Diceros bicornis minor: one gene and its partner. The protein of the gene in region 1 interacts with the protein of each later gene in a pairwise test. Links are inferred from orthologs where the notes say so. Each region holds a gene or a part of one and is shown in the gene's direction. Other genes may lie near its edges. The genes, in order: ARL15 and UNC119.

Region 1 (10,400 bases):
TGCCAAAACCCATTCTATCGTATATTTATTATTTTTTTGTGTGAGATCAGCCCTGAGCTAACATCTGCCAATCCTCCTTTTTTTTTTTTTTTTTACTGAGGAATACTGGCCCTGGGCTAACATCCGTGCCCATCTTCCTCCACTTTATATGGGACACCACCACAGCATGGCTTGCCAAGCAGTGTGTCGGTGCACGCCCGGGATCCAAACCGGCGAACCCCGGGCCGCTGCAGTGGAGCGCACGCACTTAACCGCTGGCGCCACCGGGCCAGCCCCTGAATCGTATATTTTATATGGGTGAATTGTATGGTATGGGAATTATATCTCAATAAGGTTATTTTTTTAAAAGGTGTAAGTAAAGGAAGAAAAATGTACTCAAATGCCAGATGAGAAGTGAACTGTGCAAATAGAACTGGAAAGGACCCTGGGGCTGCATCACAAAGTTTTAATTAATCAAATCAAATTTAATCTGAAGCTGGGAGTTGATCCCCACTTTTCTGATTCCTTAGGCATTAGTAAATTGTGCTTGTCCCTTTGGATTTCCATGGAAGTATTTGCTTTTTCCGCACAAGATCAGTGTGTTAGGTTGAATAATGGCCCCAAAGATATCAGGTCCTAATTCCTGGAACCTGTGAATGTTACCTTAAATGGCAAAACTGACTTTGCAGATGTGATAAATTAAGGATTTTGAGATAGGGAAATTATCCTGGATTATCTGGGTAGGCCCTAAATGCAATCACAATTGTCCTTAGAAGAGGGAGGTAGGAGACTAGATTACAGAAGAGGGGAAGGCAGTGTGACCACAGAGGCAGAGACTGGAGTGATGTGGCCACAAGCCAAGGAATGCAGACAGCCACCAGAAACTGTAAAACACAAGGAATTCTCCCTTGGGACCTCCAGAAGGAAGCAGCCTTGCCAACACCTTGATGTTAGCCCCATAAGATTCAGGACTTCTAGCTTGCAGAACTTTAATAAATTTGTGTTAAGTCATTAAGTTTGTGGTAATTTGTTACAGTGGCAATAGAAAACTAATACAATCAGTGATGCAGTACTGCATCTAAGAGATTAAATGATGCTGGGGAGGTATTAAGAGGGATTTACATAGCTTCTTGATATTTGGTGCTTGAATAGCAGTTGCCTGTGATGTCTAGTTACCTCTTTCTGGTATAATTATTTACCATGTTAAGTGGTGATTCTTCATTTTAAATGCCTTATCTTGCTTTAATATTCTAAGACCCAGCAAATCCTTTTTGGAAGAGGTGAGTTATCTTCTTAGGGTTAAGTCCTTGCTCCTGCAACCTCATTCTGACCTCTTCCATTTATGAATCAAGTTCTGCTGGCAGCTTCATGTAGGGGCATCCCGCTCTGGTGAGGTTCATCTTCTAGGACATAGTGGTACTTTGTTTAGGTTTAGGAAGCAGGGAAGGGGACTGGGGGTAAATCAGAGATGGGGTGTGTGTTTGTGTGAAGGCAACCATCTGGAAAAAAAAAAGAGGGCAGGGCTCAGAAGAGAGTTTTAAGGTCACATGAGTTATTGGAGACAGTAAGTGAGCAAACCAAGTGTGCCTGATGACCTGCGTAGAACTCAGTGTCAGGACATCTCCACTTTTTCTGAAAAAGGAGTATCCGTGGTTTGAGTTACTCTAATGAAAGATACCATCTCTCAGCTATTAAGGAATAGTATACTCTATCAAGGCAAGAATGAGGCAAGATAAGCACTCCCTACTTTGGAGTTGGGGTCAGGGGGATGAGACTATAAGCCAGTACAAAAATGAGTATTATACCAGGGCCACCCCGTGGCGTAGTGGTTAAGTGCGCGCGCTCTGCTGCTGGTGGCCGGGCTTCGGATCCCAGGCGCCCACCGATGTACTGCTCGCCAGGCCATGCTGTGGCGGCCTCCCATATAAAGCGGAGGAAGATGGGCACGGATGTTAGCCCAGGGCCAGTCTTCCTCAGCAAAAAAAGAGGAGGATTCGCATGGATGTTAGCTCAGGGCTGATCTTCCTCACACACACAAAAAAGTACTTATACCCTTTGTACTAGTAACTTCATTTCTAGACATTAGGATAATGAGATGTGAACAATTTTATAAGCAAACATTCACTGCAATATTTATAATAGTAGTATCTAATAGATTTGTGAACATAGTACATTTATACAATAGAGCTTTGCATAGCCATTAAACATTTATGAAGAATTTTATGATGAACTTTATATATTGACTGCGCATGATACAAGACTAGTAAAGACAGTATTCTTTAGTTATTATGTATCAAATGAACAACAAAAAGGGAATAGAGGGAAAGAGCCACTAAATGTTGCTTTTTCTGGATTTTAGAATCTGGGAGACCAGGTTGCAAAAACACATTTCTGTTTTTGTTTCCTACAAGCAACACATTAACCAAAAATTTTTCCTCCAAATCTGGCTAGCCAGCAGTCTTCATGGAATTGTAGACTATGGACTGTCAAAAGAATTTCTCCTTACTTTTGACAAGCAACAGTGATGGCCTTTCCTCAAAACCTGTGTAGTAATGCAATAGCCTCATGAGTTTATCCATGTTTTCTTATGCATCCGGAAGAGGGTCATTCTTTTTATTGAGAGCAAAGGCAGGGCTACATTAATGAGATCATGTCTTATTCAAGACTGCAGTTTGTTACTTGGCATATAGTGGGATAAGTTGAATGTATGCCTTCTAAGCTCTCAACACTCTATTTTTAACATGAATTAGGGTGATTACTACTGTTACTACCACCCCTATCAGCTAAGACCGCAGCTTCATGTAGTGGGTAGTGTATTATCTATTTATACCAACATAATCTAGTTGGCCTCTTTCTTCTGCACAAGAGTAGACACATTAACATCCCAGAAGATTAACACCTAATTAGAAAAATGTGCTCCATATGGAGTTCTGAAGCTTCAGGGTTTCTTTTACAAGGACTCTTCCAAAAGGCAATATATGATTCTTTTAATACATTACACGGAACACAAGGTTTTTTTTTGGTGCCAGTTGAAACAAATGTGCAAATGGTGTGGAATAGGGTGAGAGTACAATGGTGCAGCCTTTGGAACTTTTCCTTGAACACATTCGTTCATCACCCTGCTTTGGGCTCATTTACTAATTCCTAGAGGTAGCATGAAGCATGTTGTGGTTTTAATGACCTTCTGTTCAGGACTTTCTCTAAGGTTAGCTTTTAAAGTAAAGGCAGAAGCCGACTGCTCCTGAGTGACTATCTTCCCCTGCAGAGAAACTGACAGGCTTCTCAAGAGTCTGACTTGGCGGTAGTCAAGACATCATTTATCACTAAGAAAATGGACCAAAAGGTGTCTCTTTACTAACTCAAGCTCTTTATCTATTTGCAATATGCTTCCTCTTGGAAAGAAGAAAACAAACAAACCCGAAAGGTTCCTTGTCTATTTGAATTATTTTTGCTAGCAAGTTAGAGAGGCCTTCAACTTCTGCAATTAGTTTCAACCAATTGTGCTGTAGGTTTACGGAAATTCATCACCTTCAGAATCCAGGTCAAAATGTGTTCTAAACCTACATGTGTTTGATTTAATAGAATGCCAAGAACAGTCAAAATTGGATCCAACGGCTTAATGCCATTGAGTTGAGTTAGCTCCTGCATAGGCAAAAACTCACTGAAAGTTCTTCAGGAGTAGAATTTCTTATTTATACACACACACACCCTTGTCTGTAAATTGGATCAAGAGAGTCAAGCTCTGTACTAAGTGTGCCTATTTACAGTCTTTTAGTTTTTTCAAAAAACCCTATGGCCATAAGAATTCCCATTTTTCAGCTGGGAGATGAGATACCTTACCCAAAATCACATGGCTCACCAACCTGGAGTTCTCTCTAAAGGGCTGCACTCTCTGAGTTACCTGCATGTTTAGGATGAATTCTATTGTCATCTAATAGAACTGTTTGGGCAGCCCCAGGCAAACTTGTATGGAAATTCATTCCTGAGGATACAAAAAACAAAGGTGCCAAATTAGGGGGAAAATAAAAATCCAACCCCTAAAACAGAGTCAGGCAGTCACTTCAGAAAGATTTCAATTGAAGTTTTACTCTTGATATATTATTGTAAGGAAGCTCTAATTATTGATACAAGCGAGCGCAATCCCCTCGCCCTCCTTAACCTCTGGTGGGGAAACACTGCAGTCACCTGAGCCTGATAAGATGTCTGGCATTGTGTAGCCTGAATCTTCAAAAGATAAAGCCTTTAGTGTTCTTATCTTGTGTTCTTAGTGTTCTTATTCTTGTCTGACTCAGCTCCCCCTCCCCCAGCTTAATACAATAGTGAGATCCAATGACAATTTCCAAGTTTTTTAACCAGGAAATGTATAAGACTCAAGTGCACCTGCTTACAGATACTTTTACGTCTTAAAATGACATCGGGTCACAAACACTGTATTAATTGGGTCTTTCCAGAGAGTTTCTTCTATTGCTCATTTTCCTCACGGGCAATGGATTTGTGCTCACTGTAACTGGACTCAAAGCATGCAGACAACTGATCACCTTCTTCTTCCCCAGTGTTTGAGGTCTACAATCGACTTATATCGAGTCCCCAAACTTTTCGTCTTTTCCTTTCACGTGGTGGAGAGTGAATTCTCCGGGAACAATTCGGCATAAAGAGGCAGCCTCCTGGGTTACCTCTGACCGCGTCCGGGGCTTCACTGTACCCCCAGGGACATCAGGCTGGAGCTGTCTGCCTTCGCAGTTTCTCATCTGAAGGTGGGGAGGGACCCCCCCCCCAGGACCACCTCCCATCCCCGAGTCACCGGCTTGCCTGTTCAGATTACCCTCCGATACACTTCAAGCCTGCCCGATGTGCAGTCTCCAGGCCGCAGAGCCTTCAGGAAATCGCTCGGGAGAGAGGCATTAAGTGTCGGCGGCTACCACGCCTCCCACGTTTCAGCGCTAGCTTCCTACTGCGGGGGCGGTGGGAGGGAACACCAAGGCTCTCCAGCACTAGGGCAGAGTTCTGCTCGGCTGTACCCAGCTAGGAGGCTACAGAACTCAGGCAGCTGCAGCACCAGCCGATTTTCCGCTTTTGCCCGCTGGTTCTTCCGCCTGCACCGCCCTCGCCCCCGCCCCTCCGCCCTGTCCACAGGAACCAGCGCCCTGGCCGCTCCCGCGCTTCTCTGGTGCCACCCGCGGCGGCCTGCCTTTTATAGTCACCGCAGCCAATGAGCGCTCTCCTTTCCTTCTGCCCGCCCGCCCGGCCAATCGCCGCGCCCCTTGTGTAATCTTCGGCTCCTCGGCTGCTCTCGGCTATTTTCGTTGTTGCTGGCTTTTTCAGGGGCTGCTCGCTCGCAGCCAGAGACGCTGCTTTTTTTTCCGGGTTCGGAGCCGTTCCGGATGCTTTAGGCTGCCGGATGTCTGATCTCCGGATAACTGAGGCGTTTCTGTACATGGATTATCTGGTAGGTGCGGGGCAGGGGTGGCGTGTCGCCTCTCGGACCCCGACGTGCCCGATATCCCTCTGCCTGGAGGAGCAGCCTTTTTGCTTTCTTTCTTTGGGATGGGATGCCTTTGGGGTTCTTTCTCCCGCAGCCGCCTCTAGAGCTGTGCCGGGACCCGCACGGGCGGCCGCCTGGACCGCGGGGCCGCAGCGCGGAGGGCTGGTGGGGCTGACAGGTAAAGGTGCGGCCCGGGCCAGCCGCGCTGCGGGGCGAGGGGCGCGGGGGGCTGCCCGAGAGATGGGGCCGCGGCGGCGGCGGCGGCGGCGGGGCGTCCCCTGCCCGCGGTCGGGTTCTCGCCTTCCCTCTGCGCTCTGCACAGGACTTTCTTTCCGCGGAAGCAGGAGTTTTCCGCTCTTCCTTCAGCAGGACTCCAGGTACTATTAAAGAGCCATAACCAGAATGGCTCGCTAAGTGCCCGGCAGCCCCAGTCATTTGGTTGTTATTAGATCTCTAAAGCTATGACCTCAATCGCGGAGAGGGTTTAAAAGCACATTACCATAAAGTAGACGGGACTGAACTACATCGCAGTCTGGCCAGAACTGGTCCGGGAAGGGGCAGGCGTTGCCCACCGTTCCTGTCGTGGGTGCATGCCGCCTTTACCCTGTGCACGGATGGGATCCTAGCTGTGCTTTTAGGCCAGGCTTGTGCTGAGAAGTTTAGGTGGGAAAAGTGTCAGCACGGTGCTGGGACTGAGCATTATTTTAAAAACTGCCTAGTGTGTGTGTTCTTGTGGAATTATGCAAGCACCGTGAATTTGTTCCGGAAATTATATTTCCCCAGAGCTGCCTGTTTGTGTTCAGGGGCATCCTCACTAACATTGGCTATGTTCGATCCTATGCAATTACCAGGTTTACCTTGTTAGCCGGAACCGCTAGTGCAGTGCAGAGTTGAAGTAGATGGTTAAAAACGTTGATCCTCCTCTCATCTTGTTGGACACATGCAGTAGGTTTTCGACTGCAGATTGGCCTGGCAGAGATTTGCCAGTGCCTTCTAGGAATTCCACTTAAGGCTGTACTAAGAAAGACTGTAAATGCTTCCATGATCAAGAAATGCTGGACAAGGACTGGTTTTATAACGTTACCTGGTATTTGGGGTTATTTTAGTTGACCTGAAGGAGATGTTTCTCCTAAGGCTTCGTGGTTGATGATCTTGTGGGGAAGGGTGGTGATTGCAGTTAATATATGACCTTGTGGATGGAGCAGAGTCAAAATTTCTGAGTTCAAATTCTGTTTTGTTGTTCATTTGTTGATGTCAGTAACTTCTATTTTTGTGATGAAGGGACGTTATCCACCCACAACTAGAGCCGGTTAAAGGGGTTATCTGATTGTAAACGTTCTTTAAAATGCAGAGTGTTATGTAGGTTAAGAGAGTTGTCAAATGTTTTCTAAAGATTGTTTTCTAAATTAAATAACTGATTATAATTTGTAGCTTGTCTTATACAGTTCTATGGTTTTGTCTTGCAGTCTACCCAGATTAAAGCCAAAGTTTGTTGAGAATAATTACCAAGTAGGAAAGGGTGGCATTACCTATACTGCTGAGAGCTAATTTTGGATAATTAACTACCTAAAAAGGAAGTCAAGCGGTTCTGGTCATTTTATTATTATTTTTATTTACTGGGTGTGTTTTAAGTTGACAAATTGCATCACAGACTTGTCTTTGAGGTGCCAAACCCACCAAAGCATTTAGTGAAAAAAAACTGAAAACTCTGGGGTAATTACTCAGGTTAATTTCCGGAGAGTCTAAGCATGGGTAGAGGAATGTTTGTGGGGATCTAGGTTACCTTAGAAGGAGATTAATTTCTTTGTCAATTTACTAGCAGTTTTGTGGCAAAATCAGTGGGCCTTGAATTTGACATGGCCTTTTTGTTTTACCTGCCACTCCCCCACAACCCAACTTTTGCACTTGTATTAAAAAATTCCTTGTTTTGTCACTTTAACTCTGCTTTTTAAAAAATTCACAAGTGCAGTGAAACAGTCCCATAAAAATCACTGGCTAATCATTGGATGTGAGAAAAAAATCTTAAAGGAAATGTCAGTTTTTATGAGTGTGCCAGGTATCCCCTGTGAAAGGATTTAAGAAAATCCTTAAACATTAAGTCCAGTTTTTACTGAAACTGGACTGAAAAAAAAGAAAAAAACAGCCCTCCTGTGGTGGTCTTTTGTTTACTTTTTGCTTATCCACTTTCAGAGAAAATGACATGCCACACATCATTCTTTTCTTCTTGCCTTTCAGATTGACTTGGTTGCTCATGCATAATTTTTACATGGTGTTTATTAAAAACCAATTTCTGAAAAATGAAAATTTCATTGACTGCATCTGGGGTCTTATTTTTAAAATAGATCAGTTCCCCAGTTCTTTTACTTACCTTCCAGAAAAAAATGCTCCTTTTGAGTTTGACTCTAGATTTTGCTGAGCTTGTGGACTAGAGGAAGCGTCCTGCCTGTGCACTGGACAGGAATCATGGTGTGTGCCATCTTTTCTTTTCTTCTTTTTTTCTTTTTAATCGGTGTTTGACTTTCTTGTTGTTGATGTTGGAAGCTGGAAGAGGGAGCTCTGTGTGTGTATGTATTGTCCATTGTTCTTTAGACTGGATGTTATCACTTAACCTTTTTTATTTGGAGGAGAGTGGAAAGGAAGAGAAATGAGAAAACCGTAGAGGTACTATTTTTAACAGCTTTTAATAGGATTGCGGATATTAAAACAGATGATGAATCTCTCTGATCTTAGAGGTTGCTGTTGATTTCTTAACTTAAAAGAAATGTTCTCAATTAAAGGTGACAATGTGGGGGCCAGGGATAGTACCTTAATATTTAAGACAGGATTTTTATTGATTTCAGTTCAGGGAAATAATGGTAATTTACTAATCCTAAATAATTGCATGTATCACCCAGTGCCTGACTTGGTTCCTGGCACATAGTAGGGCCCAGTATTATTTGTTGAATTGAGTTACTATGAGACAGAAGGGACAATTCTACTTTTCTTGCCAGCTTCTAAAGTGAGACAAGATAAAATCTGTTTTGATTAGGTGTTTTGTTCTGGGGAATGCAGAATGTATCCTTTACTCTTAAACTTTAAGATTATCAAGATATAATTTGTTTAGCCTGGCTGGCAATTTAAATATAAAAATCTTGGTTTTCCTGTTAAGGGAATCTGCCTAGGAGGCCACACACTTTTTTCCCATTGTCATAATCGGCATTAAAGGCCATGTTTACACCTGTCAGATCTATGGGTAAAGATTTTGCTGCTGTTTCAACAGGGAGTACCAGCATCTTTCTCTCTCTCTTCTGACGGGTAGAACCAGTAAGACAATGTGCAGAGCTTTTCGAATAAGGTGGGAGAAAATAGTCAAGTTATAATGAAAGAGAAAAACATATCTACCAGGTTTTCCTGGGAAGTTGGACAAGATTAACTTCTAGATTCCTTTTAGTTAAAATTTTTTTTGTCCTAACTCTTACATGTTGATTGGTCTGGATTTCACCTTTTCTCCCTTCTGCCGTCAAAGCAACAGCAATAAGATTTGTGATGCTTTGTGTAATGCCTATGGTGATTAAATGAGATAATAGAGGGAAGGTGATTTATACACAGCACACTGCTTTTCAGATATAAAATGCTAATGTATTGTGGTTACGATGCTGATATTATTCTTATACTTCCTGTGGAATGACTATTACTGCTCAGTGGTAAATATTGGCCTACCTTTTAAACTAGTCTCAGTATATGGAAAGAGTTGGAGTGGTAATCAGCCAGCAGGAAGTCACAAGACTCTCTTGAGGATTTTTTAATACCTATAAAAATAAAACCACATTCTGATATTTACATTAATCCATTCAGCAAACATTTATGGAACCTCTGCTTTGTGCCTGGCCTTGAATGTCATGGGGGATGAGCACCCAGCTAGGATCCCCTTGGCTGTAGGACCAGCAGGCAGGTGGCTCTACAGGGACCTGTGGCAGGACAGGTTGGATAAGGCACATGGGGGAGGAGGCAGCTTCTGATGTGCTCCTTGGCTTTCTGGTACTTTTATTTTATGTGTCTGTTTCTTTTTTTTTTTTGCTGAGGAATATTGGCCCTGAGCTAACATCTGTGCCAATCTTCCTCTTCTTTGTATGTGGGACACTGCCACAGTGTGGCTTGATGAGTGGTGTGCAGGTCCGTGCCCGGGATCCGAACCTGTGAACCCTGGGCTGCCAAGGTGGAGTGCACGAACTTAACCACTAAGCAACCGGGCCAGCCCCTATATGTTTCTTTATTTTTTTGTGAACTAAAATGCAAAGTTGGACTTGAAAATGTGGCAACTAAATATGCTTGGTGAGTCTTGGATGCTAATTGTCAATTAATGATCATTGCATTTGTATATGCTCTTTGCCATTTAATAAGGCTGGGGTTCTAGATTTCTTCTTTGTATAGATTGGTGAATCTGCCCAATTTCTTGGTCACAGGCTGTACCTGCAAGTATAAAAATTCGTGTGTCAGTGGGGAAGATCTGGGGAGAGAGGTAGATGGATCAGCACAAATCCATCACAATTTGCAGAATAAAAACCAGCTAAGCAAGCAAGCAACCAACCAACCAAGTACAAAAACTCACGATGTGCTACAAATAACACAGCCCATAGGTTCTAGTAAGTTGTAAATGAGCCTGTTCACGGGCCGGCCCCGTGGCTTAGCGGTTAAGTGCGCCTGCTCCACTGCTGGCGGCCGGGGTTCGGATCCCGGGCGTGCACCGACGCACCACTTCTCCAGCCACGCTGAGGCCGCGTCCCACATACAGCAACTGGAAGGATGTGCAGCTATGACATACAACTATCTACTGGGGCTTTGGGGGGAAAAATAAATAAATAAAATCTTTAAAAAAAAAAAATGAGCCTGTTCAAAAAGGCACGTTTGTGATTTTTATCTAATGTTCAGTTATCTTCAAGTGTGCTAATTTTAACCTTGA
Region 2 (10,750 bases), on another chromosome or scaffold:
TTTACTCAACCCAGACCCCAAGTCCCATGACGTCCACTGGGACATCGAGGGGGCTGTCCGGCGCTATGTGCAGCCCTTCCTGAATGCCCTCAGTGCTGTGGGCAACTTCTCTGTGGACTCTCAGGTGAGACTGGGAGCAAGTTGAGGAGTCCTTTTCCTGGCTGCACCATCCTTTTCAAAGTCCATCCATATTTGGTGTTTACAAATGTAGTCTGTTCTTCCAGCTCTTAGAGCTTGCTGATTTGCTAGGAATTTCCTGTGTATGTATATGATTCTGGTGTCTATTTTCCCTCCTTGGTGTTTGACTTGGGGAGTTTTGTCAATGCTGTTTAAAACTAACTTCCTTATGGCTCCCCCCAGAACTGTATTCACCAGTTGTGCCATCCTTAAGAAATTTATTTAAAAAAAATAAAACACAAAACTTCCTGAAATATGTTAATGAAGTGACAGTAAAGATGTAAAGAATGTAGCTTTCTATATTACACAATGTCCTTTTAGGGAAAACATGGGAGAAATTTTTATCAGGTCTTGATAGTGGGAGTAATTACTTCTGAATAACTGACTTGATTTGATCTTGTGGACACTGAATTATACTCTTTGTTTCTCTCTTTGTTTAGGCTGTTAGAAAACCTGGTAAAATATGTGGTTTTCAAAGCTTGTATTTAGTGTACTGACTTTACTCTTGGCTTTGTTATATTTTTCCTACATCTGTTTTCTCTTAGCTCTAATTTTGCCTCTTATGTTTTGCCCTGTCCTAATTGTATCTTTTCAAGGTACCTCAAATCTTCTTTGGGACAAAGTGGAATATAAATCAATAAACAAAATAACGTTCTCGCTCTGCTCTACAGATCCTTTACTATGCAGTGTTGGGGGTGAACCCTCGCTTTGACCCAGCTTCCTCCAGCTACTACTTGGCTGCGCACAGCCTCCCCCACGTCATCAACCCAGTGGAGTCCCGGCTGGGTGAGCTCCTGAGGATGAGGGTCTTTCTGCCAAGCTGGGGAGGGACCCTGAAGGCTCAGCGTGGGTTTGGGGGCAGATTGTATATAGTGATGGTTCCCAGGTTGGCTTGGTCTGAGGGTGTTAAGGAAGTGCTGGGCATTTAGGCTCCCTTTTCATGATACCCTGTTGATGACATCTCCATCTCCACACCTTCATATCCAAAAGCATTTATTAAATGTGATTGCCGGGCCGGCCCCATGGCTTAGCGGTTAAGTGCACGCGCTCTGATGCTGGTGGCCTGGGTTCGGATCCCAGGCGCGCACAGACGCACCACTTCTCCAGCCATGCTGAGGCCGAGTCCTACATACAGCAACTAGAAGGGTGTGCAACTATGACGTACAACTATCTACTGGGGCTTTGGGGGGATAAATAAATAAATAAACTTTAAAAAAAAAAAAAAAAAGACCAAAAAAAAAAAAAATGTGATTGCCAGCTCTTTTTATAAACAAATGGTTAGGCTGTGTCTCCCTCCCTGCAAGCCATCCAGGAAAGGTATGGTCACTCATGTAGGAAGGACAACAGCAAAAGAACATGAAGGCAGAATTCAAATTGACAGTTCTGCTGAGTGAGGTTGAGGAATATCGAAGCTAGGATTCCGGTTTATCATTTTTGGAGTGGTACCGAGGAACAGTGAGTGTGACTAAGAACTGTAATACAGGCAAATCAAAGTGAGTATATCACTAGTTGTGGAATTTCAGGCATCAGGGCTAGGCCAGTGTGGACCAAGGGGTCTGGGAGGGGCGGCATGTGAGGCCTTGGCAAATTCCTCCTTCATTCATTGATTCAGCAGATATTGGTTGAGGGACTGCTTTCTGGCAGTGCTGAGTAGAGATAGAAGGGCATTTCAGGCAAGGGAACTATAAGCTTAGATGTAAGAGTGCAGAGACATTCAGGAAGCTCTTAAGTTTAGTGTGGCTGAATGGTGAGAAAGTGACCAAGGTAAAGCCGGCAGGCACCAGATCATAAAGGGCCATGTTAAGGAGTTTGAACACTAACCTGGTATGAATGGCTAGCCATTGAAGGATATTAGCAGGGAACTGACATAAGGTCAGATTTATACTTTGCATAAAATGAGTTATAGTAATATGGTTGCCATGAGGCAGTGGCCAAGAGACCTGTCTCAGACAGGCAAGGGGGGGGCCTCTTAAGAAGAGGGGAGGTTCCCGGACTGAGGACTGCACTTCATCTATGTGGCACATCTTGGGAGAATGTTCAGAGGTACTTTATCACAGAAACCCAGGACTGAGGATATCCTAGTGATTAGTGAGGAAATGAGGCCCAGAGTGAGTGACCAGCAAGTTAGAGGATGACCTGGAACTAAGATCTTTTTTTTTTTTTTTTGGAACTAAGATCTTGATCCAGCATGTTTCAGTATCTGACTCCCCTTCTCTTTGTACCACAGGATCCAGCGCTGCCTCTCTTTACCCTGTGCTCAACTTCCTACTCTATGTACCTGAGCTTGCCCACTCCCCCCTGTACATTCAGGACAAGGACGGGGCTCCAGTGGCCACCAACGCCTTCCACAGTCCCCGCTGGGGTGGCATTATGGTAATGGTCACATTGTGCAGACCCCAGAGCCCAAGCTTCAGGGACAGACAGATGTCCCCTGAGACTCTTCCTTCTCTTGTTCCTCTGGTGTCCTCCGTGGCCCAGCCTGTGGGAGGTGAGGGTGCTGTGAGCTCGTGTGCCTCTTCTGCCAGCCCACATGCTGCTTATTTCTGTCAATATTTTCTATGATATGACCCTTTCTCACTTGCAGTTTGCAGTTACTCAGGACTATTCTGCATATATCTTAGATCTTGGCCCTATCTGTGGGAGTCTTGCAACGTTGGAAACTTTGTCTCCCTGTTAGACTGGGAGTTTCTCATGGGTAGTAACTCTAAAATGGAATAAAAAATAACTCTATTATAGGACTTTTGAGGGGGTAATGGAGATAAATTTATATAAAGCTCCTAACAGCAGGTATTCAAAAAATAATAGTTATACCATCAAGTTTGTAATTTCTAAAGAGCACAGAATGTGTCTTCCTTTTCTCTCATGGGCTCCAGAGTGTCCAGGGCAGTGCTGTGCATGGTCCTGGTGTGACGTGGCAACCTCCTTTCCCCTTGCAGGTATACAATGTGGACCCCAACGCCTACAGTGCCTCGGAACTGCCGGTGAGAGTGGAGGTGGACATGGTGCGAGTGATGGAGGTGTTCCTGGCTCAGCTGCGGTGAGGTCCTGGGTGATCCGCTTGGGGGCATGGCCACTGAGTCTGACCACAGTCTCCTGGGTTGACTGGAATGAAATCTCACCTGGCAGGGATTCCTTGGCTGTGCCTAGAGCCCCAGGGAAACCAAGAAAGGTTTCCAAAGATTGCTTCATCTGTCTCCTAAGAAGGACTAGTTGCTGACAAAAACTGTTTTAAGAAAAATAGACTCATGAATGTCAGGTCCATGGGGTGTGATTAGGGGTACCTAAGAAAACAGCTAGTAATTCTTGGGCTAACTGCTCTATTGATAGTGGCTGCCTGAAGCCCTATGTTGAGGATTCTAAGGCTGTGTCTGGGCTCATCTGGAAAGAGGATTCTGATTGATTAGCAATGTCTGCCCTGGGTGCAGGGATTAGAGAGGCACAGAATGCGTGCCTTGTCAGAGGTGGTCCTGGATCATCCCATAACAAGGCTCAGTGGCCCCATTTGACCAAAGAGAGGGTAGACAGAGTGAGGAGATTAAACTAAGTTGGCTTATCAGAAATATTTTAACCATGGAACCTTTCTTCAAACAAGATCTTGGAAGTCCAATATAGAAACAGGTAAAAGAGAAAACACTGGTTAAAGTGGGACTTGGAGCTCAGGATTGCTTAGTGTTGCCACTCACCCCCCAAGACCCTGAGGTACTTCCCTACAATTCCTGTGGTTCTGGGTAAGATTGAAAATCTTAGTAGTTATTCTAGGAATCTTAACCATCTCTCACCTTCTAGTTATTCTCAGCCCCTTTGACCTCACTTCACTGTTCCTACAGGCTGCTCTTTGGGATTGCTCAGCCCCAGGTGCCTCCAAAATGCCTGTTTTCAGGGCCTAAGAGTGAAGGGCTAATGACCTGGGAGCTAGACCGGCTGCTCTGGGCTCGGTCAGTGGAGAACTTGGCCACAGCCACCACCACTCTCACTTCCCTGGCCCAGCTTCTGGGCAAGATCAACAACATTGTCATCAAGGACGATGTGGCATCTGAGGTAAGCAGGCGGGGGATGGATTCTGTGGCCTAGAATTGGAGTGGTCATCGAGGGCCAGAGTGTGGTGAAACCAGAGAGCCAGTTGAGGTTCGGAGTATGTGTCATGCCATCCTTGAGTGCCCCAGGCTTCCTCTAGAGGGCACTGCCAGCTCCGCAGCAAGAGTCCAGATGGGGCTGTGAGGTTTTAAGCAGGCACTAAGAAAATACACTATAGCCCTTTTATACTGGCCTCTGTATATCCTGGGTGAACTTCAGGCAACCTGTCTGGTAGACCGAAGACACTGAGGCCCAGTATCCCCCCCCTCAACCAATGCCTAGGACTTATTGGTAACCCCCTGCCCCCTTCCTAGGTGTATAGGGCTGTAGCTGCAGTCCAGAAGGCAGCAGAGGAGCTGGCCTCTGGGCACTTGGCCTCTGCCTTCGTTGCCACCCAGGAAGCTGTGACGTCCTCGGAGCGTGCCTTTTTTGACCCCTCGCTCCTCCACCTCCTCTATTTCCCTGATGACCAGAAGTTTGCTATCTACATCCCGCTCTTCCTGCCTATGGCTGTGCCTATCCTCCTATCCCTGGTCAAGATCTTCCTGGAGACCCGCAAGTCCTGGAAAAAGCCTGAGAAGACAGACTGAGCAGGGCAGCATCTCAGTAGAAAGGCTTCCTTTCTGGCCAGGGTGGGAGGTGTTAGATTTAGAGGCAAATAAACAGGGCCTGTCACGAATGATTTGTTTGTCTCCAGCCCCTGTTGCCTTTCCAGCAACTAGAGTACAACACTCCAAGATGGGTTCATCTTTCCTTCCCTTCCCATTCCTGTGGCTCAGGTCCTCCCCTACTCCATGCACACACCCCCAGTCCTCAAAAAGTGCATCATCTGGGTCTCCTTATCTGGCTTGAAGTTGAAGGCCCTTGCCTGTCTCCCTCTGGGGCAGGGGCAGCTTGTTGTGCTTCTGCTCTGTTCCTCACAGTTCTCTTGTACTGGGAGAGAGCCTTAGGGGAAAGCCCTGGGTTGGATTCCAGCCCCCTGCCCTCACGCTTCTCGAGGGAGAAGCCCTAGCACTGCTCTCGTGGAAGGGGCCAGGCACAGGTCACCTCGGGGGTCTTCTCCCTTACCCCCCTCCCTCCTGGCTGTCTATACTTGCTGGGTACAGCCTGACGGGGAGTCCAGAAGGCAGCAGCTCAGGACCTGGTGCTGTGTGTGTGCAGAAGTTCCCTTCACCCTTTCCTAGAGGCAGTGTGGTGCAATGGGGAAAGTTCTGGACTTGGGATCAAGCATGCCTGAATTCAAACCCTTGCTTCTGCACTTACCATCTGAGGAGCTTTGAATAAGCCATTTAATCTCTCTGAGCCTCAGTTTTTCATCTGTTAAAATAGCGCTAATGATACTTCCCTTACAAGGTGGTTGTGAGGATTAAATGTGATAAGCATGTGAAGTGTCGGTCATATTCTCGGGTCTCAATAAACATTGACTGAATGTGAATTGGGATGATATGAAGTATGAGCATACCTTTCATTGTTCCTTCATTTATGTGTAAGTAACAGTTTCTTAGTGTCTGTCCTTCTGGGCTCACAGGTCCACCTTGCTTCCATGTGGCTATGTGCCCTTCCTGCGTCCCTGTTCTGGAGGGCCCTGTGGTGGCTAGGCTGTTGTTTCTCAGCATGTCCTCAGTTGCCCAACAAGACAGCATCTATTTCTGCTTTTTAGCAGGGGGTCTTGGGAGAGAATAGCTTGTACCAGTGTAAGCCCTCAGATGCTAACTCATTCATCAGTTCAAAAAAAGAAAATATATTGAGCACGGGCTGCAACAGGCACAGTGCTTGGTGCTGGGGTATTAGAACAAAGACAGGATCTCTGCTTTCACTCAACTGATTTTTATTTTTTTTTGAGGAAGATCACCCCTGAGCTAACATCCATGCCAGTCCTCCTCTTTTTGCTGAGGAAGACTGGCCCTGAGCTAACATTTGTGCCCATCTTCCTCAACTTTATGTGGGACGCCCCCACAGCATGGCCTGACAAGTGGTGCATCCCTGCGCTCCTGGGATCCAAACCCCGGGCTGTCAGCAGCAGAGCGCACGCACTTAACTGCTTGGCCACAGGGCAGGCCCGCTCACCCAACTGATCTTTTAGGGGGAAGAGTCAGTGACAAATAAAATTAATTTCAGATAATGCATTAGAAAGAAAAAACAGGTTGATCAGGTAGTGACTGGGGGTTAGTACTTTAGGTTGGTTATGAGGGATGACCTTTGAGCAGAGGCATTTCAGCGGAGACCAGAAGGACAAGAAGAGGCCATCTGGGGGAAGAGCATCCCAGGCAAAGACCCTGAGGCAGGAAGTCCCTTGAGGGGCAGAGGGAAGGGCAAACTTGCTGGAGAACAGCGAGTAAGCAGAGGTAGCCAGGACCCTGTAAAGTAGCCATGGAAACAATGGATGAGGGCCAGGGTCGCCCTGGCCTGGGTGAATAGCCCAGGTCAGGACGCCCACAGCCTTTCGCTGGGTGGGCGGGGCCAGTGCCGGACCCACCCCGGGGGCGGAGCGGTACCTGGGGCCCCGGCCGGGGGTGGGGCTGCGGACGCTCCCCCTTCCCCCGGTTCCAGCCGGCTCAGGCAGCCGCGGCGGCAGGAGGCGAGCCGCGGCCCGGTGAGGCCATGAAGGTGAAGAAGGGCGGTGGCGGGGCCGGCACGGGGGCGGAGCCCGCCCCAGGGACTTCGGGCCCGAGCGTGGAGCCCAAGCTGGAGCCGCAGCCGCAGGCGGAATCCGAATCCGAGTCCGAGTCGGAGCCGGAGGCAGGCCCGGGGCCCAGGCCGGGGCCGCTGCAGAGGAAGCAGCCGATTGGGCCGGAGGACGTGCTGGGGCTGCAGCGGATCACGGGCGGTGAGCACCGGCGAGGAAGCGCCGCCTGCGGGCGGGTGGGAGAGCGCGGGAGGGGGCCCTCGAGGCGCGCGGAGCCCCGGCCCCCGCCCCCTTTCCCGCTCTCCCCCCGCCTCCCCTCCCCCACCCAGGTCCCCCTTGCCTGTGCTCCCTACCTTTCTGCTTCCAAGCCTGAGATCTCCATGTTCCCGTTTCCGCTGATCTCCCAGTGCCCCCTTCATCTCCCTTTAGAGGTTTATTTCCACTCCACTCCTTCCTTTTTGAGGAGTCCATCCTGCTTTCCTACGGTGGAGGTGGGCAGCAGCTGCAACTGTGACTCCCTCCCTATGGAATCTTCAGAGCCCTTTGAGGGCTTTCTTTGCAGTAATGAGGAGGGGGGCTGAGTGCAGTCTGTCCTCAGTCCCCACCCTGGAGGCTAAGTGGAGGCTGAGTTCCTTAGGTGGCATTAAGACCCTCAGGTCTCCCTGACCATTAATGCACTCACCATGGGTTCCCCAGGAAACCTGAGGCCATCCCCCTCCCCAGGAAAGGACCTGAGCAGAAAGCTTCAGTGGGTTGGCTCTCTTCTCAAGGGAGTGGGTTAATGCCCCCATTAGCCTGGACTGGGGCCTGTCCTCTTCTGGGAAGGATAGTCTCCACTGTGGTTGAGTTTCTGAGTTGGACTGCGTGGTTTGGAGTCCCAGCTTTGCCATGTAATTGGGTGTGTGACCTTGTGCAAGTAACTTTACTTCTATGAGCGTATTCACCTGTAAAATGGGGATAATGACACCTACCTTAGGGCTATTGTGAAAATAAATCCTCTGATTTTGCACAGTGCCTGGCATGCTGTGCGTGCTCTGTAAATAGAGCTCTTTCATCAATAGTACTGAGGGCCCGGCAGGACTGCTCGTGGCTGCTGCCCAGAGGCAGACAACTAGGCATTCAGGGCAGGGGTGGTGGGGAGGTCACCATAGGCAGGGAACAGGGCTAAGAAGCCTCAAGGCAGAGGCGGTGGCTGAGCCTCAAAGAACAGGAGGCTTTGGAGATGCAGTGGCCCTGGACCTTGGCCTCATTCATCAGTACCCCTGCCCTGGCTCCCTCTGTGAGAGCAACTCTTGGGGCCTCTGTTTGGGGTTGGGAGCAGGTGCTGGAGTGGACTTGAGCTCTGGAGCTGCAGGAGCAACAGAGCCCAGGACCGTCAGACAGAGCCATGGAGGGGACCATGATGGCAGGTCTAGGCCTGTGCATCTGGGTCCCTAGGGGACCAGCTTCTCCCTCTCTGAGCCAGGCAACAGCCATTCTTGGCTGGGCCCCCAGAGTACTGAGCTGCCTTGCCCAAGCAGGCATTGGTAGAGGGAGGGGGCCTGGACCAGGCTGATGTTGATGCCAGTTGGGCTGTGGTTGGCAACAGTGGCATTTATTTAGCATTCAGGTTAGCTCTGGGGCAGAACTTCATTATAAGATGTCTGGAGGTCAGGCTGACCTGCCTGGGTCCTAGGTAACTTTAGAGATTATTTTGCAACTTTGGGGGCTTCCAGCCCGTGTACCACCATGTGTCTCCTAATTTGGAGAAAATTCATAGCCCTTAGAGGTGGGGCATCTGTGGAGGATGAGTAGGGGAAGGAGCTTCACGGGATCCCTTTCCCCTTGTAGAAGTTGAGAACAGGGTTCCATTGTCTCCACCCTGGCACCCCCTGGTCTCTTCTGACCTTAATCACACAGATCTGAGGTTTGCTCCTCCTGGATTACGGGGCCGTAAATCCAGCTTAGGAAGCTATTTGTGGCTGAGGGAAGGGAGCAGTTGTGTTCTGAGCCCTCGGCTACTCTGCCTCTTTTCTGGCCTGACCCTGGGTCCCAGGTCTCAGCCTTTCCTGGCAGAAGGGAGGGAGTGGCAGTGATGTCCTGAGCCATGGGCATCCCCCCTTCCTCACTTCCTCTAAGGTCAGAGGAGTTGATAGGTTGTTTGTAAGAGAAGAGACTGAGGTCAGACTGCAAGAACTTGTTTATAGATGAAAGGAGAGACTCCAAAAGTTGGAGAATGGGGGAAGAAGGGAGGGCTTTACTGAGAGCTGGGAGTTGGGTGACTAGGATCCTGCTCCCAGTTCTGTTACCTCCTCTCCCTATGCCCTGCACCTGCTTTCTACATCTTTGGACTAGTGCTTATTTTCTGTGTAGAAGGTGAGGTAGGGGCTGCCCGCTTCCATTCCTCCGTCTCTCCTCTCCCCACCGTGGGCTGTGGTGGACAGGCTGGGGCTCAGACCCCTCCCCCAAGCCCTGTGTAGTCCCAACTGGACCCCAATGTGCCAGGTGGCTACCAGGAGGGCTTCCTGGAGGGGGCTGTCCCAGGCTTGGGGAAGAGAGAATGACTTTACATTCACTTCCTCTTCCTGCCCCAGGGGGATAGGAGGTGGCCCAGGGGCCTAGAGGGTGACTTCCTGGCCTCTAAAGGGAGGATGTGATGCTGCGCAGGCTGACAGCACTGGAGCCCCTCACTGTGCCTCTCTGCTCCTTCCGATTTGTTGACAGGGCCTCCCTGAGCAGTTGCGGTTGCTGCTGCAAGAGCCATGAAGGTTGGATCAGGCCGTGGTATTCCTGAGCTTCCTCAGGCGGTACCGCCACTATTCTTGGTTCCTCTTCTGGGCCTGAGGACTCCCTTTACCCCCATGTACACCCCCGGTTGCAGCAGCCACACCCTCTTCCTGGCCTTGCCTCTACTCCTCTTTGAGGGGTGGTTCAGAGCCAAGGCTGGGTAGATGACCTTTGAGAGGGTTCCCTCTGTTCACTAAACTTCCTCTCATTTGGAGATCAACGGGGAATGGGAGCAAAGGTGGCCCCCTCTCCCCCGATATTCCAGGTTCTGGGCTTGAGTCAGCAGAGCTTTGGCTAAGCTGCTTAAGGGAGCTGGGCTTGTATAAGCTGCTTATGGGGAGTGGAGGGGGCTGAGGGAGTGCAGAGGAACAGAGAAGAAATTGTTTGCCTGCCCCAGAGTACCCAGGTCAGAGACAGTCCTTGCCTGAAACACCTAGGTATAGCACCAGGGGCAGCTGTGGGGTGGGGGTGGGGTATTCTTCAGAGAAGTACTGTGTCTCTCCCGAGGCAGAGAGCTGTGTCACCCCCTTTAGAATGAAGTTCCCAAAGGCAGGACTGTATTTTCCCTCTCATGTTGGGGGCTCCCCATCAGATTGGAGATTCATTTGGCTCAAAGTCACTGAGCCAGCCTTGGCAAAGCAGAGGCTGGAATAAGGGCCCTCAACTCTGGGGTGGCAGAGAAAATATGGGAGAGGTGGCTTTGTCCTCCTCCTTCTCTGCCCTCCCCCTCCCTGACCCCAGAGGCCACTGGGATGGAGCTGTTTGTCCCCCATTAGATCCCAATGGCAGAGCTATGTCTCCCCCACACTGTTGGAGCTCCCTCAAGACAGGAGCTCAATTCTCTCTTTCTGGAAGGCAGTGACCTTAGGGATAAGAGAAAGTGGTAGCTACTCTGGGGTTCCACAAAAGCTGAGCTGGCAGCAAGGGCTTCTGGGTGGGCCTCTTCCTTGCTCAGCCACCTGTCTCCCCTAGACTACCTGTGCTCCCCCGAGGAGAATATCTACAAGATTGACTTCGTCAGGTTCAAGATTCGGGACATGGATTCAGGCACTGTCCTCTTTGAAATCAAGAAGCCTCCAGCCTCAGGTGAGTGGGCTGGGTGGCCAC

The links.
Region 2: the proteins of ARL15 (region 1) and UNC119 interact in binary tests that used the Homo sapiens proteins (3 or more experiments, as listed by UniProt). The link is inferred for Diceros bicornis minor from reciprocal best matches to the Homo sapiens genes ARL15 and UNC119.

The regions. Positions count from the first base shown.
Region 1 is NC_080759.1:21,388,774-21,399,173, forward strand, and holds the start of ARL15 (ADP-ribosylation factor-like protein 15), read left to right. Parts: upstream 1-5,308; 5' UTR 5,309-5,377; coding exon 5,378-5,425; intron 5,426-9,903; exon of another isoform or gene 9,904-10,083; intron 10,084-10,400.
Region 2 is NC_080757.1:18,943,037-18,953,786, forward strand, and holds the start of UNC119 (protein unc-119 homolog A), read left to right. Parts: upstream 1-6,783; 5' UTR 6,784-6,852; coding exon 6,853-7,078; intron 7,079-10,615; coding exon 10,616-10,729; intron 10,730-10,750. Other genes in the region: PIGS (GPI transamidase component PIG-S), read left to right, coding at 1-124, 849-963, 2,405-2,550, 3,114-3,214, 4,005-4,215, 4,566-4,841. UniProt on the Homo sapiens protein: Involved in synaptic functions in photoreceptor cells, the signal transduction in immune cells as a Src family kinase activator, endosome recycling, the uptake of bacteria and endocytosis, protein trafficking in sensory neurons and as lipid-binding chaperone with specificity for a diverse subset of myristoylated proteins.